Ovis aries: one gene and its partners. The protein of the gene in region 1 interacts with the protein of each later gene in a pairwise test. Links are inferred from orthologs where the notes say so. Each region holds a gene or a part of one and is shown on either strand. Other genes may lie near its edges. The genes, in order: AIRIM, MEOX2 and PPP1R12C.

The links.
Region 2: the proteins of AIRIM (region 1) and MEOX2 interact in binary tests that used the Homo sapiens proteins (3 or more experiments, as listed by UniProt). The two-hybrid records come from large-scale screens. The link is inferred for Ovis aries from reciprocal best matches to the Homo sapiens genes AIRIM and MEOX2.
Region 3: the proteins of AIRIM (region 1) and PPP1R12C interact in binary tests that used the Homo sapiens proteins (3 or more experiments, as listed by UniProt). The two-hybrid records come from large-scale screens. The link is inferred for Ovis aries from reciprocal best matches to the Homo sapiens genes AIRIM and PPP1R12C.

The regions. Positions count from the first base shown.
Region 1 is NC_056054.1:12,499,837-12,503,580, reverse strand, and holds the start of AIRIM (AFG2-interacting ribosome maturation factor), read left to right. Parts: upstream 1-1,359; 5' UTR 1,360-1,546; exon of another isoform or gene 1,547-1,567; intron 1,568-1,756; 5' UTR 1,757-1,759; coding exon 1,760-2,034; intron 2,035-3,744. Other genes in the region: CDCA8 (borealin), read right to left, coding at 544-672, 813-909. UniProt on the Homo sapiens protein: Part of the 55LCC heterohexameric ATPase complex which is chromatin-associated and promotes replisome proteostasis to maintain replication fork progression and genome stability.
Region 2 is NC_056057.1:25,059,453-25,063,196, reverse strand, and holds the start of MEOX2 (homeobox protein MOX-2), read left to right. Parts: upstream 1-1,385; 5' UTR 1,386-1,665; coding exon 1,666-2,179; intron 2,180-3,744. UniProt on the Homo sapiens protein: Mesodermal transcription factor that plays a key role in somitogenesis and somitogenesis and limb muscle differentiation. Required during limb development for normal appendicular muscle formation and for the normal regulation of myogenic genes.
Region 3 is NC_056067.1:63,073,572-63,077,215, forward strand, and holds part of PPP1R12C (protein phosphatase 1 regulatory subunit 12C), read left to right. Parts: intron 1-1,176; coding exon 1,177-1,307; intron 1,308-1,390; coding exon 1,391-1,509; intron 1,510-3,644. UniProt on the Homo sapiens protein: Regulates myosin phosphatase activity.

The DNA of each region.
Region 1 (3,744 bases):
GAGTCCTTGCACTTTGCAATTTGTTTGCTCGTGTATAAATTGGTGATTTCCATAAGCTAAAGAAAGAGCTGGTTGGAGTTATCCTTCCATCTGTGCTCTGGTAACAATCTATTCATTCATTCACTTTTAAATGGTTAGATAAAACACCACCCCCCTCAAAAAAAGAGTATTTCATGACACATGGAATCTGAAATCTGTCAAATTCACATTTCAGTGTTTCCATAAATAGATTTCTGTTGGAAAACAGCTATGCCCATTCATTACAGCTGTTTTTGAACTATAACAGCATGAGTAGTTTGGACAGAGAACCTTCTGGCCTACAAAGCCTAAAATACTTATTATCTCCTCCTTTAGAGAAAATATTTGCCTGCCTGCAGAGGAAGATGAGGGAAAGTGCTAAGAAGAAAAGCAGGGAGGTGAGACGGATCGGGGAGGAGTAGGCCTGCAATTTCCTTCTAAGACCTCATTGAGAAGATAAAAGCTGCCATGGTAACCACAGAAGGGCTCCAGGCCGAGGCCTGGGGAAAGACCAGGAGCTCTTACCGAAGTATTCGAGCCAGTTCATTTCGCGCAGCGCCTTGGGGAGTCGCAGGATCTCAATGTTGTACAGGTTATCCAACTCTTTGAGGAGGTTCTGCCTGTCTGACTGAATTTGCTTGGATCGCATTTGCACTGCGAGAGGGCAGAGAGGACACGGCACGGGTCACCCCGCGGGGAAAAGGTTCCCGGAATCCCTGCTGCCCGCGTCCCAGTCCTCCAGCACCCCGCGATTGCCCCCAAGTGACCGCGACCACCCGGGCTCCGCCCCTCACCTTCACGGTCGAAGTCCTTAAGAAAGGAGGCGAGCTTTCGGTTCCGCAGCACATTGGTCTTAGCCACCCGACTGCCGCCCTTCCTAGACGGAGCCATGGCCCTTCGATGGAGGCTGCGGGGAGCTAGGGGCGGAGGCACAAGGCGTCAGCGGCGGAGATGGTGAAGGAGAGGGGGCCGCAAGGGGGCGAGGGAGGGTGGAGGGCCCCCCTGGGGGTTTGAATTGGGGACCCCTGCCCTTCCGGGCCCGAGGAATAAAGGATTCGCGAGGCACCCACCTGCAGGTTCTGAAACCCGGGCTGAGGAAAAACCCGGCTGCTTCAGCCGAGAAGGAGCCGCTCCGGGACGAAAGCGACGTGAGACCGCCGCCACCAAATTCAAACTGCCAAAGGCTGGCCAATAAAAAGCCGCCGTCTTAGGAGGGTTTCACAACAGCCAATCACAGAGAAGCTTCGCAATTGGGCAGCCAGTCCACACGTAAACTACAGCACCCAGAAGGCATTGCGGTCCGACCGCATCTTTTTCGCGACTCTGTAACCACGTCTGGGCATGCGCAGAGACACAGCGGAGGTGTGCGGAGTCTTGGAATTTCCTTAAAGTGTTATTGCTTTAGTTTTGTTTTCCCGCTGGTTTAGAAGAGCGGCCGGAAACCTCAAGTAGAGGAGATAAGATTCTGGCTCCGGAAGCACGGATCGGCCCAGTGAACCTTCAGTCTGAAACTGCCCTAAGCCAAGGGGTAGGTTGAGCCTCTCTGAAGGTAAGACTCGCGCTAGAAACACCTGTCGGGAGGGATGGACGGCCCTACATGAGCAAACTTTGTTTAGCTGGACCTCTCTGAGAACGGAAATAACTCCCACCCTTGACTCGGCCCTTTGCCTGTCGACTTGGGACCCTAATGATATTTGTTTTTTCCTGGGTTTTGTTTTTGTTTTCACCCCTACAATAGAAGATGACTGAAGATCAGCCTTTGCTTGCCGTGCAGGAGGCCCTGAGGAAGTGCTTTCCTGTGGTGGACGAGCAGCAGGGCCTGTGGCAGAGTGCTCTGAGAGACTGCCCGCCCCTCCTGGCCTCCCTCAGCAACCTGGCAGAGCAGCTGCAAGCCACACAGAACCTGCGATTTGAGGATGTGCCCTCACTTCGGGCCTTCCCAGACCTAAAGGAGCGGCTGAGGCGCAAGCAGCTGGCGGCTGGTGACACTATCCTGGACAAGCTAGGAGAGAGGCTGTAAGAGGCACAGTGGCGCTCTTTCTTGGCCTAGAGATGTTAAAACTGGGTATTTAATAATCTAGGATCAGTGAGAAAGGGGGTTTTTCTCCTTAAGAGAATGGTATTTGGGGATGTGACAGCCTTACCCCCTTTCCATCTGTTGCAGTGGGACCTCTCTCTGTCAAAAAACCATTTTCTGGCATTTCCCTTATCAGCTAGGCATGACAGTGGTGGACTTAGTAAAAGTTACCAAAGCAGAACAGAAAAGCAATGGAGAAAGCTCATTGACCCTCCACTGTAGTTTTCCTTAGGTAGAAAGCAGCAGGAGTTACACTGTAAACTTAGTAGGTGCCAGCAGCAAGGATTTTACATACATTATCTCATAAAATCTTTTCAACAACTGTGACTTAACCTCACTTAATCCCATTTTTCAAGTGAGGAAACTGAGGCTCACGCAAATTGCCTGTGCTCAGGCAGTTAGTAAATAGTAAAGCTGGGATGCTCATCCGAGTGCCTCTGGCACTGGGGCCAGAAGCTCCTAACCACCGCTTTGTTCTGCTGTACATTGGTGTCTGAGCGAGGAGAAGCACCAATGTTAGGCCTTCGATCTTAGAATTACAGGTAATTGGGGATAGAGAAGAGAGAAGGCACATATGGCCTTCCCTTAACCAGGATGAAAGAAGGTTCTAGTGTGTAGGGTTTGCCATAGACTGATAGGAAACTCAAAGATGGGGGCCTTCTTTGTATTTATCTGTACTAAAAACATTAAGAACCCATGGGATGCAAAACACAGGTGCTAGGAATACAATGGAGAAGGCAATGGCACCCGACTCCAGTACTGTTGCCTGGAAAATCCCATGGATGGAAGAGCCTGGTAGGCTGCGATCCATGGGGTCTCAAAGAGTCGGACATGACTGAGTGACTTCACTTTCACTTTTCACTTTCATGCATTGGAGAAGGAAATGGCAACCCACTCCAGTGTTCTTGCCTGGAGAATCCCAGGGACAGGGGAGCCTGGTGGGCTGCCGTCTATGGGGTCGCACAGAGTTGGATACGACTGAAGCGACTTAGCAGCAGCAGCAGCAGCAGCAGCAGCAGGAATACAATAGTAAGGCCGACTTAGTTCCTAAGTTGAGTAAAAGAGTCAGTTAAGTTAGGTCATTATACATTCTAAGGTAGCGAACTTTTATTTCAGTTGATTACATGTTTTTATGTGGGTATTGGGCTGTTATTTTTAGCCTAGTTTTTATTGTGAGTCACAGTCAAACTTGAAAGCTGCAGTTCTAGGCTAGGGAGTTCCTTGCCCTTTGGGAAGTTGTAGCCTTCGTCTTATGGCTAGACCTCTTGGAGTCACTAATGGAATAATAACTTTTAAAATAATTATATAATAATTTTTAAAATAATCATGTAAAAATAATAAAATTTGCCATAAGCTAGGTACTTCCCTAATGGCTTAATATGCATTATTGTATTTACTCTTCACAACAGTCCTTTTCATTCACTGGACAAATGTTTGTTGCTTTGTCGGCCAGTCTCAGTGTTTTAGGTACTTAGGATGCACAGTGAACAAAAGAGACTTGTTTTTGTTCGTGATTGAGAATAAGTAACTTTCCTGAGATCGACAATAATCTGTGTGCGTCAAGAGCTCAAATTTTACCCATTCAGGAATTCACGAGGGTGGGGCACGATATAGCATGAGCGCAAGACTGCTCTATTGCTGTAGTTTCC
Region 2 (3,744 bases), on another chromosome or scaffold:
CAACTTCCAAGACCTGACCCCCTGTCCTCTGGACACCTGAGACAATGAAAGTAAGACGGCGACGCTCCTGGTGGCAAATTTGGGGTCCCGGGAGGGATAGGTGAGCGCCGATATTCTCCTGATGCGACAAGTCCTAGGCAAGGCTCAACTGTTCCCGCAGCTCATTATGCTCGGCCAGCGTGCGTGCCTTGTGTAAACGACTTGGCCCCTAGCAGACAGTGTCGCCCTTTAAGCATGTGGTAGTATGAAAGCCCAGCCGTCGCTCGCATTAATTCACTGGTGGCAAGTTTTCTAAGTCATTTTCTAGGATGCAAAATTGTAACCAGGGAGATCCGAACTTTAAGCGATACCAAAGTGTAATATTTGTTTGGTAAATGGAACCATGGCGGCGTGGGAGTGAAAGGGGTGCAATGAGCTGATTGATTTTTTTGAGCGGAAGAGAGATGGATTTCTGGAGGGAAACGAGGTGACAGGGGGCTGGCTCCTGAGGGAGAGTACTGGAAATGTACATTCAATATACACATCGCTTGTGACTAGGGTGAAATCGCTTTAGAATACTCCTGATCCAGGAAAAGTTTTTCTGGGCGGACAAGTGGCAAGGAAATGGAAGTGGGACCCGGAAATCGAGAGCGGTGTGGGGGAGGACATTTGAGGAAAGCAGGGGAAGAGACCCCACCTGGGACCGCAGGTGAGGATGCCAGAAGCAGAGCGTCTGCGACCGTCACGGCCCCATGCTTTCTTCCACCCTATCAAGTCTCGTTCCTTGCGGCCCTTTCTCGCCCGTGGGGAACTTTTCCTGCATCCTCGAATCTGGCGTCTCAGCGCTCTAACAACCCACCCACAGACACCAGCTGTATAAAAAAGCTAGAAACGCCACTGAGCCCATGACACGAGTTGATGCGAATTTGGAAAACCTTAATCTGAGTGCGCGCCAAACTAGCTCTGATTCTTTTCCTTATCCTCCACCTTTCGTGCTTCTCCACATTTAGGCACACCCTGTTTTTCTGCAGGTGACAGTGCCCAAGTGGCATTGACAAGACACCTTTCAGGAGAGAAGTGAGCAGGTGGGACACTGGCTGTGGGGTTGGAGCTGGCGGGCGCCACGGCGCGCCCCGGCCGGCGGAGCGGGAAGGGCAGCCGCTGCCCGCCGGGGCTCTGGTTTAGGCGCCCGGCTTGCCGCTTGCAGTCCAGGCTGTTGGCAGCGGCGGGAGGGCGTGGACGCGCTGCATGCGTCCAGCCGGCGATAGGAAGTGGAACTGGGAGCGCATTGCGCGAACTGAGCGGGAGTTTTGGAGGGAGTTTGCATGTGGTCAGCACTGGGCTCCTAAGCCAGCCCCCAGCTCACATTACACTCTATTTATAACCTCTCAGAGCCGTTTCCCCCTGAAAGCAGTTCTCTGGGACCACCTTCTTTTGGCTTCAACCTCTCCTGCTCTTGACATCTGAGTAGCTCAGAGGGAAGCTTCTCGAGGTCCGAGTGTTTATATGTAAAGGAGACTGGCCGCTAGGGCTCAGGACCAGGATTATCCGAGCTCTGACGAAACGCGGGCGGCTATTGCTTTGGGAGGGGGAAAAGTCACACGGTTTCCAGTGAAAAGTGACAGAGGGTGGTGGCGTTTGGAACCGTCGTGAAGTCTTCTGCCTGGAACCCGAGACTTGCATGCTATGGAACACCCGCTCTTTGGCTGCCTGCGCAGCCCTCACGCCACCGCGCAAGGCTTGCACCCGTTCTCCCAATCCTCTCTCGCCCTCCATGGAAGATCTGACCACATGTCCTACCCCGAGCTCTCCACTTCTTCCTCGTCTTGCATAATCGCGGGATACCCCAACGAGGAGGGCATGTTTGCCAGCCAGCATCACAGGGGGCACCACCACCACCACCACCATCACCACCACCACCACCAGCAGCAGCAGCACCAAGCTCTGCAAACCAACTGGCACCTCCCGCAGATGTCCTCCCCGCCGAGCGCGGCTCGGCACAGCCTCTGCCTCCAGCCGGACTCGGGAGGGCCCCCGGAGCTGGGGAGCAGCCCGCCGGTCCTGTGTTCCAACTCTTCCAGCTTGGGCTCCAGCACCCCGACCGGGGCCGCGTGCCCGCCAGGGGACTACGGCCGCCAGGCGCTGTCACCCGCGGAGGCGGAGAAGAGAAGTGGCAGCAAGAGGAAAAGCGATAGCTCAGGTAAGGGCGCGCCGGGCACCCTCGGCGAAAGGGGGCGGGGAGATGGGAAGATTCTCCTACTAGAGTGAGGCGGCGGGCGTTATGGGACAGGTCTTTTCCTCTCTGGCTCCTCGCCGCCAAATTCGGCGAGGCTGCTTTGGTCCTTTTATTTGGGGGCACGTGTTTCTCCGAGGGCAGCACTGCAGCCAAGTGCGTTAAGCTCTCCAAGATTCAAACTAGTTTACCAGAGGGTTGAGAAAAAAAGGACAAGTGACAAGTATGTGAAATCGATTGCGAAGCGTGACCTTCCATCTGAGCGATGGGGAGAGGAATGCACCCTGGGATGCAGCGTCCGCTGGGCGTGCGTGCGGGTGCCTTTCCTTGACTTTTCCCGACTCTGAATGGCTCGATTTTTCCCATCGTTAACTGGATTTCCAAATTATTGCACAACATTTGGAACTTGCAGTGGAACTTGGCAGAGCACATGAGAAAAAGTTTTAGTTTAGTTTTTTTTTTTTTAATTCTGATTTCAGAGTTCTTTAAATAGCACCCTATTCCAAATGGTAAAATTTCTCTTTCTTGGGGGAAGAAGATATTGTCTAGGAATTCAGAGGATTTTAAGGAATGTGTCAGAGAATGGCAACTAAATATACGCTCAGACCCTTGACGAAAGACGATTCTTTATTGTAGTTGTATTCATGTAATGCTAACCAAAAAGAAAATCTGAGTTTCAAAAGTGGAAAGTAAAATCCTCCTCCAGTTGAGTACTATCCGAAACAAGGATTGGGAAACTTAACAGCAACCAGGGTAGCGCTGCTACAAGTGGGTGTGCGTAGGAGGCGCTGATCTACGCGAGGATATCTTGAACCGCGTAGCGAAAGGGGAATCTTAACCAAACGCGAATGCTTGAAGGCACCCGCAGCCAACTAAACTTTAGCAATCCAGAGAAACTAAAGCTTTGCAGTCAACTGTCAAAGCCCTTACCTGTCTCTGTCCTAAAGAAATTGTTAAAAGATGCTTTATAAGGAGGGTATGAGCTTTCTTCAGTAGCTACGACGCAACCTGCGTCCCATCTTTTTGCAAGCTGTTGTTTATTTAATATAATATTTACGTATTTTCTTTCTTTGCGGCATTGGTTTTAAGAGCCCTGGAAGATAATTCCAGGTACTGATTTGAAAGACTGGATAATGTCTATCCTTTATAATAATTTAGATTAGATTTCACATGAATGACAGTGATTGAGCCGCATATTTCATGTTCTTTTTCAGCAGTGGTATCAATTATTCTTCAGTGAGTACGGAATGGGTTCTTCTATCTCAAACTTAGAATCTCACGTTTACATTCCAACGTCAGGGTGAACTTCTAATGCTCCATCACAAAATAGTTGATATCCAAAAAGGTTGCCAGCAGTATCATTCATTTTTAATGGTTTTTACTAACCCTAAGTGAGACACTCTTCAGACAGAGTGAAAAAGTTAATATAGCAAGAAGGCTTCCATCTTCATTAGAAAACAAGTCATTTTTAGAATGCAGTCATCCTTTTATAGGATCAGCATTTGATATCAATGTAACTTTTCTGGGATTAG
Region 3 (3,644 bases), on another chromosome or scaffold:
GACCCCCCGGGTCTGAGGGGGGAGTGGTGGGGACCCTGGACCCCCAGGTCTGAGGAGGAGGGTGGGGCCTGGATTCTTGGTCCCTGGGGCCCAGGACGCAGACATCTTTCGCACGGATGCCTGTGCCCGGCCAGGTCCTTGAAAGGGAAAGGCCTGTCTCCCTCCTTGCCCCCCCCCCCCATCACCATGGCAACTGGTGGAAATAAACGGTGCCCAGAGTTCATCCCGTTCCCAGGGCATGTGTGGCCCCCCTTTCGCAGCCTGAGTTTCCATGACTTCATGCTCTTGGCCCTCGTAGCTTCCTCCCCTTGCTCCAGGCGGCCGGCCGTGGAGAGGTGAGGGAGTCGGAGACTGATCTCCCCTGAGGACCCAGGAGGCCAGGTCCACTCCCGTTCCTCAGCCCTGCTCAGGCCCAGTGCCCGCCGCGTGTTTGCACGCGCCCTGGGCAAAACCCTTTCTCTGGCCCAGCCTGCTGCGCTAGCGCGGGCAGGGGCTTTGGTCTCCTGGGGCTGGGATCTCTTCCTCCATCAGAGGGGATCCTCACAGCCCTCAGTGGGGAAGGTGCCCGTGGACGCCCATGATGGGGGGCCCTGTGCCTCTCCTCGGGCCCAGGCCTGGGCACACCCTCTCTCAGCCGCCTCTCCCAGTGTCGGGGTCCTGCCCAGGGCCCTCACCACCGCCCCGCCCCACTCCCAGGTTCGCAGGGGCCTGGGGACCCCGCATGGCCTTGGGCCCCAGGGTCCGGCTGTCTCCCTACCAGGGACACGGCAGGGTGGTGGTCAGCTCTCCTGGAGAGTCTGCTGGGTCTGAGGAGGAGGGCCTGGGTCTCTTCCCTTGGGTTCAGCTCTGGGGGCCCATCCTCCATGGTGACTGGGGTGCGTCTCGTGAACAAGCATGGTTCAGGATCCCTACAGCTCCTCTCCTCTCTGGCCAGCTCCTCCTCTCACGGTCCCCAGTGAGCCCCAGAGGCCTGCCTGGCGTGGCCACCGGGAAGCCAGGCTGCGCAGGGCTGGGGGTGCCCTGCGGACATGGTGCCTTCCAGGGACCTTGGGGTCTTCCTCTGGAGCTTTGCTCGGTCGGCCCTGGGTCCCCCTCGAGGCCCTGGCGGGGTCCTGCCTTGCAAGGCACGCGGAGGGGTCCGGGGTGGTGAGGGTGACCCCCGACCATGCCCCCCAGGCCTGCATCGACGAGAACCTTGAGGTGGTGCGCTTCCTGGTGGAGCAGGGTGCCACAGTGAACCAGGCGGACAACGAGGGCTGGACGCCCCTCCACGTGGCCGCCTCCTGCGGTTACCTGGACATTGCCAGGTGAGGTGGGGAGGGTGGGCGGCCCGCTGGGCATGCGGCCCGGATGCCTCCGTCCTGACCGCGGCCCGCCCCTACCTCCCCAGGTACCTCCTGAGCCATGGAGCTAACATCGCTGCGGTCAACAGCGACGGGGACCTGCCTCTGGACCTGGCTGAGTCCGACGCCATGGAGGCGCTGCTGAAGGCGGAGATCGCCCGCCGAGGTGGGCCTGGGGCGGGGTGCGGGGCTCGTTGCCAAGGGCCCGGACCCCAGGGTCTCAGTGTGGCCTGGACCGTTTAACCCGAGAAGTCATTGAGGCAGGGCTTGGCTCGTTCTCGGGGTGACTGAGGAAACTGAGTTTGGCGCTTGTCCCGGGTGATGGTGGGTCTTCTCAGGAGTTGTGCTGCGGGGTGGGGGGCAGTGGAGGAATGCCGAGTCTTCTGGGGGTCTGGTCTGCAGTACTCGGGATCACTGCGCCCCAGGGTCCTTAACGGGGCCCAGGACCCCCTAAGCTCTGTGCCTGGCCACGCTCAGTTTTCTAGGGGGAGCCTGTGTGACTGCTGGCAGGTCCCCACCTTCCCGCGCTCCCTCTCAGTCGCTGATGAACAGACCATGGGGAGGGCTCGCCGGCTGCCCTGCGGTGGAGGGCCGGGGGCCGCGGGTGGGAGACAGGGAGCAGCCTCGCCCCGTCACCAGGGTGGGCCGCGGGTGGGAGACAGGGAGCAGCCTCGCCCCGTCACCAGCGTGGCTTCTGGGTGGCCGTCTGCTCCCCCGAGCGGGTCTGGTGACCGCACTGCATCTGTGAGGAGGTGTGAGCGCGGGGCCGAGGGGTCTGGAGGGCCGCGGGCGAGGTGCAGGGAGGCTGCTGAAGAACGGCTGGCTGTCCGAGGCGATCCCCAGCTTGGCTGGGGTTGGGAGGGACGAGGCTCCGCCCTGGGCAGGTGGTGTGCCGGTGGCCGCAGGAGTCCCTCGAGGCTCCGCTGGTGGGCCAGCCGAGGTCCAGAGCCCTGGCTTGCTTCAGATGTAGGGAGCGAAGTGAAGTGGAGACAGAACCGGGCTTTTCCTGCCTCCGCGTCTCCACGTTTTCACCTGGACGACTTCGCACGCTGAGCCAGGTTTCACTGGCCGTCCGAGGAGGGCCGCCCCCGCTGAGGCTCACCGGGGCTTTCGGCAGCTCCGTGTAGGTGCAGTCGTCTGCGTGCGTGCTTCCTTCACTCTTCAGACACGCGTGGGCTCGTGTTTTACAGCCTTATGTGTCCGTGAGCACGTTGAGTTTGGATGATTCTGATCAGCCCCAAAGAAACCTCCCCACCCTCCCCTTCCCCCTCAGCCCTGGGGGCCACCCATGGGCTTCGTGTGGGGGGTTTGCCTGTCCTGGGCATTTTCCGTGAGTGGAATCCTGAAGTGTGGACTCCGAGTTTCCAGCTTCTTGGCGTGATTGCTTGTGCGCCTCCCTCTCTGCGGGGATGGGCCTGCCCAGGTTCCCTCCCCCGGCCCCGCCGCCGGCACAGGACCAGCCTTCACCCCTCCCCTGTTCACACGGCCCCTCAGCCTGGACCTGACTGCTCGTCAGTTCTGCAGGTTTGGCAGGAACTTGCCAGCAAGTTCTGCGGGGAGACGAATTCCGTCCGCCCTCTCACTGGTGATGTTAACCTTGAGCCTCATTCAGAGGACGCCCAGGTGACTCTGCCGTCAAGGCATCTTCTTCCCTTTGTTGCTAAAAAGCAGCCTGCAGGGCGATGCTTGGAGGCCACTGGGGCTGGGTGATCTCTCAGGCCTCTCAATTCCTGCTGGAATTGCCCAGAGCTCTCATCACCTTCTCACGAGAGCCGAAGGTCGCCGGGGGTTGGCTTGCAGGACCGACCAGGCCCAAAGGCCTGTGATGCTACTGGGAAGACCGTCCGCTGCACTGCTGCGGGTGGGGCACAGCTGCCTCTGAAACCCGGAGGCTTCAGTGACGTGGCTCCACGGTGCCTGTCCTGACGTGAGGCCTCAGTGGACTGTGCTGGGCAGAATCTGTGCTTTACCACAGTTTTAAGAGGAGGACAATCCGTGGGCCTCTGTAACTGAAGTCTAGGAGTTATGTGGACTTCAGGCATGGCCTGATCCAGGGGCGCAGACACGGTCGGAAGCCTTCCTCCCATCTCTCTGCTGAGCTCTGTGTTGGCTTCCCTCCTAGGCCGGCTCTCTCGGTGAGGCACTTAGCCTGGCTCCCAGCAGTGCAGGCTGACCCCCTGGCGGAACTAGAGCTAGACTTCTCAGCAGCTCCAGCCCCAGCCCTCTGCCCTAGGGCCGCCCTGGTCACAGCCTGCCCTGAGCCAGTCGTGTGGCAAGGAGGACGGTCAGGCCTGGCGACGC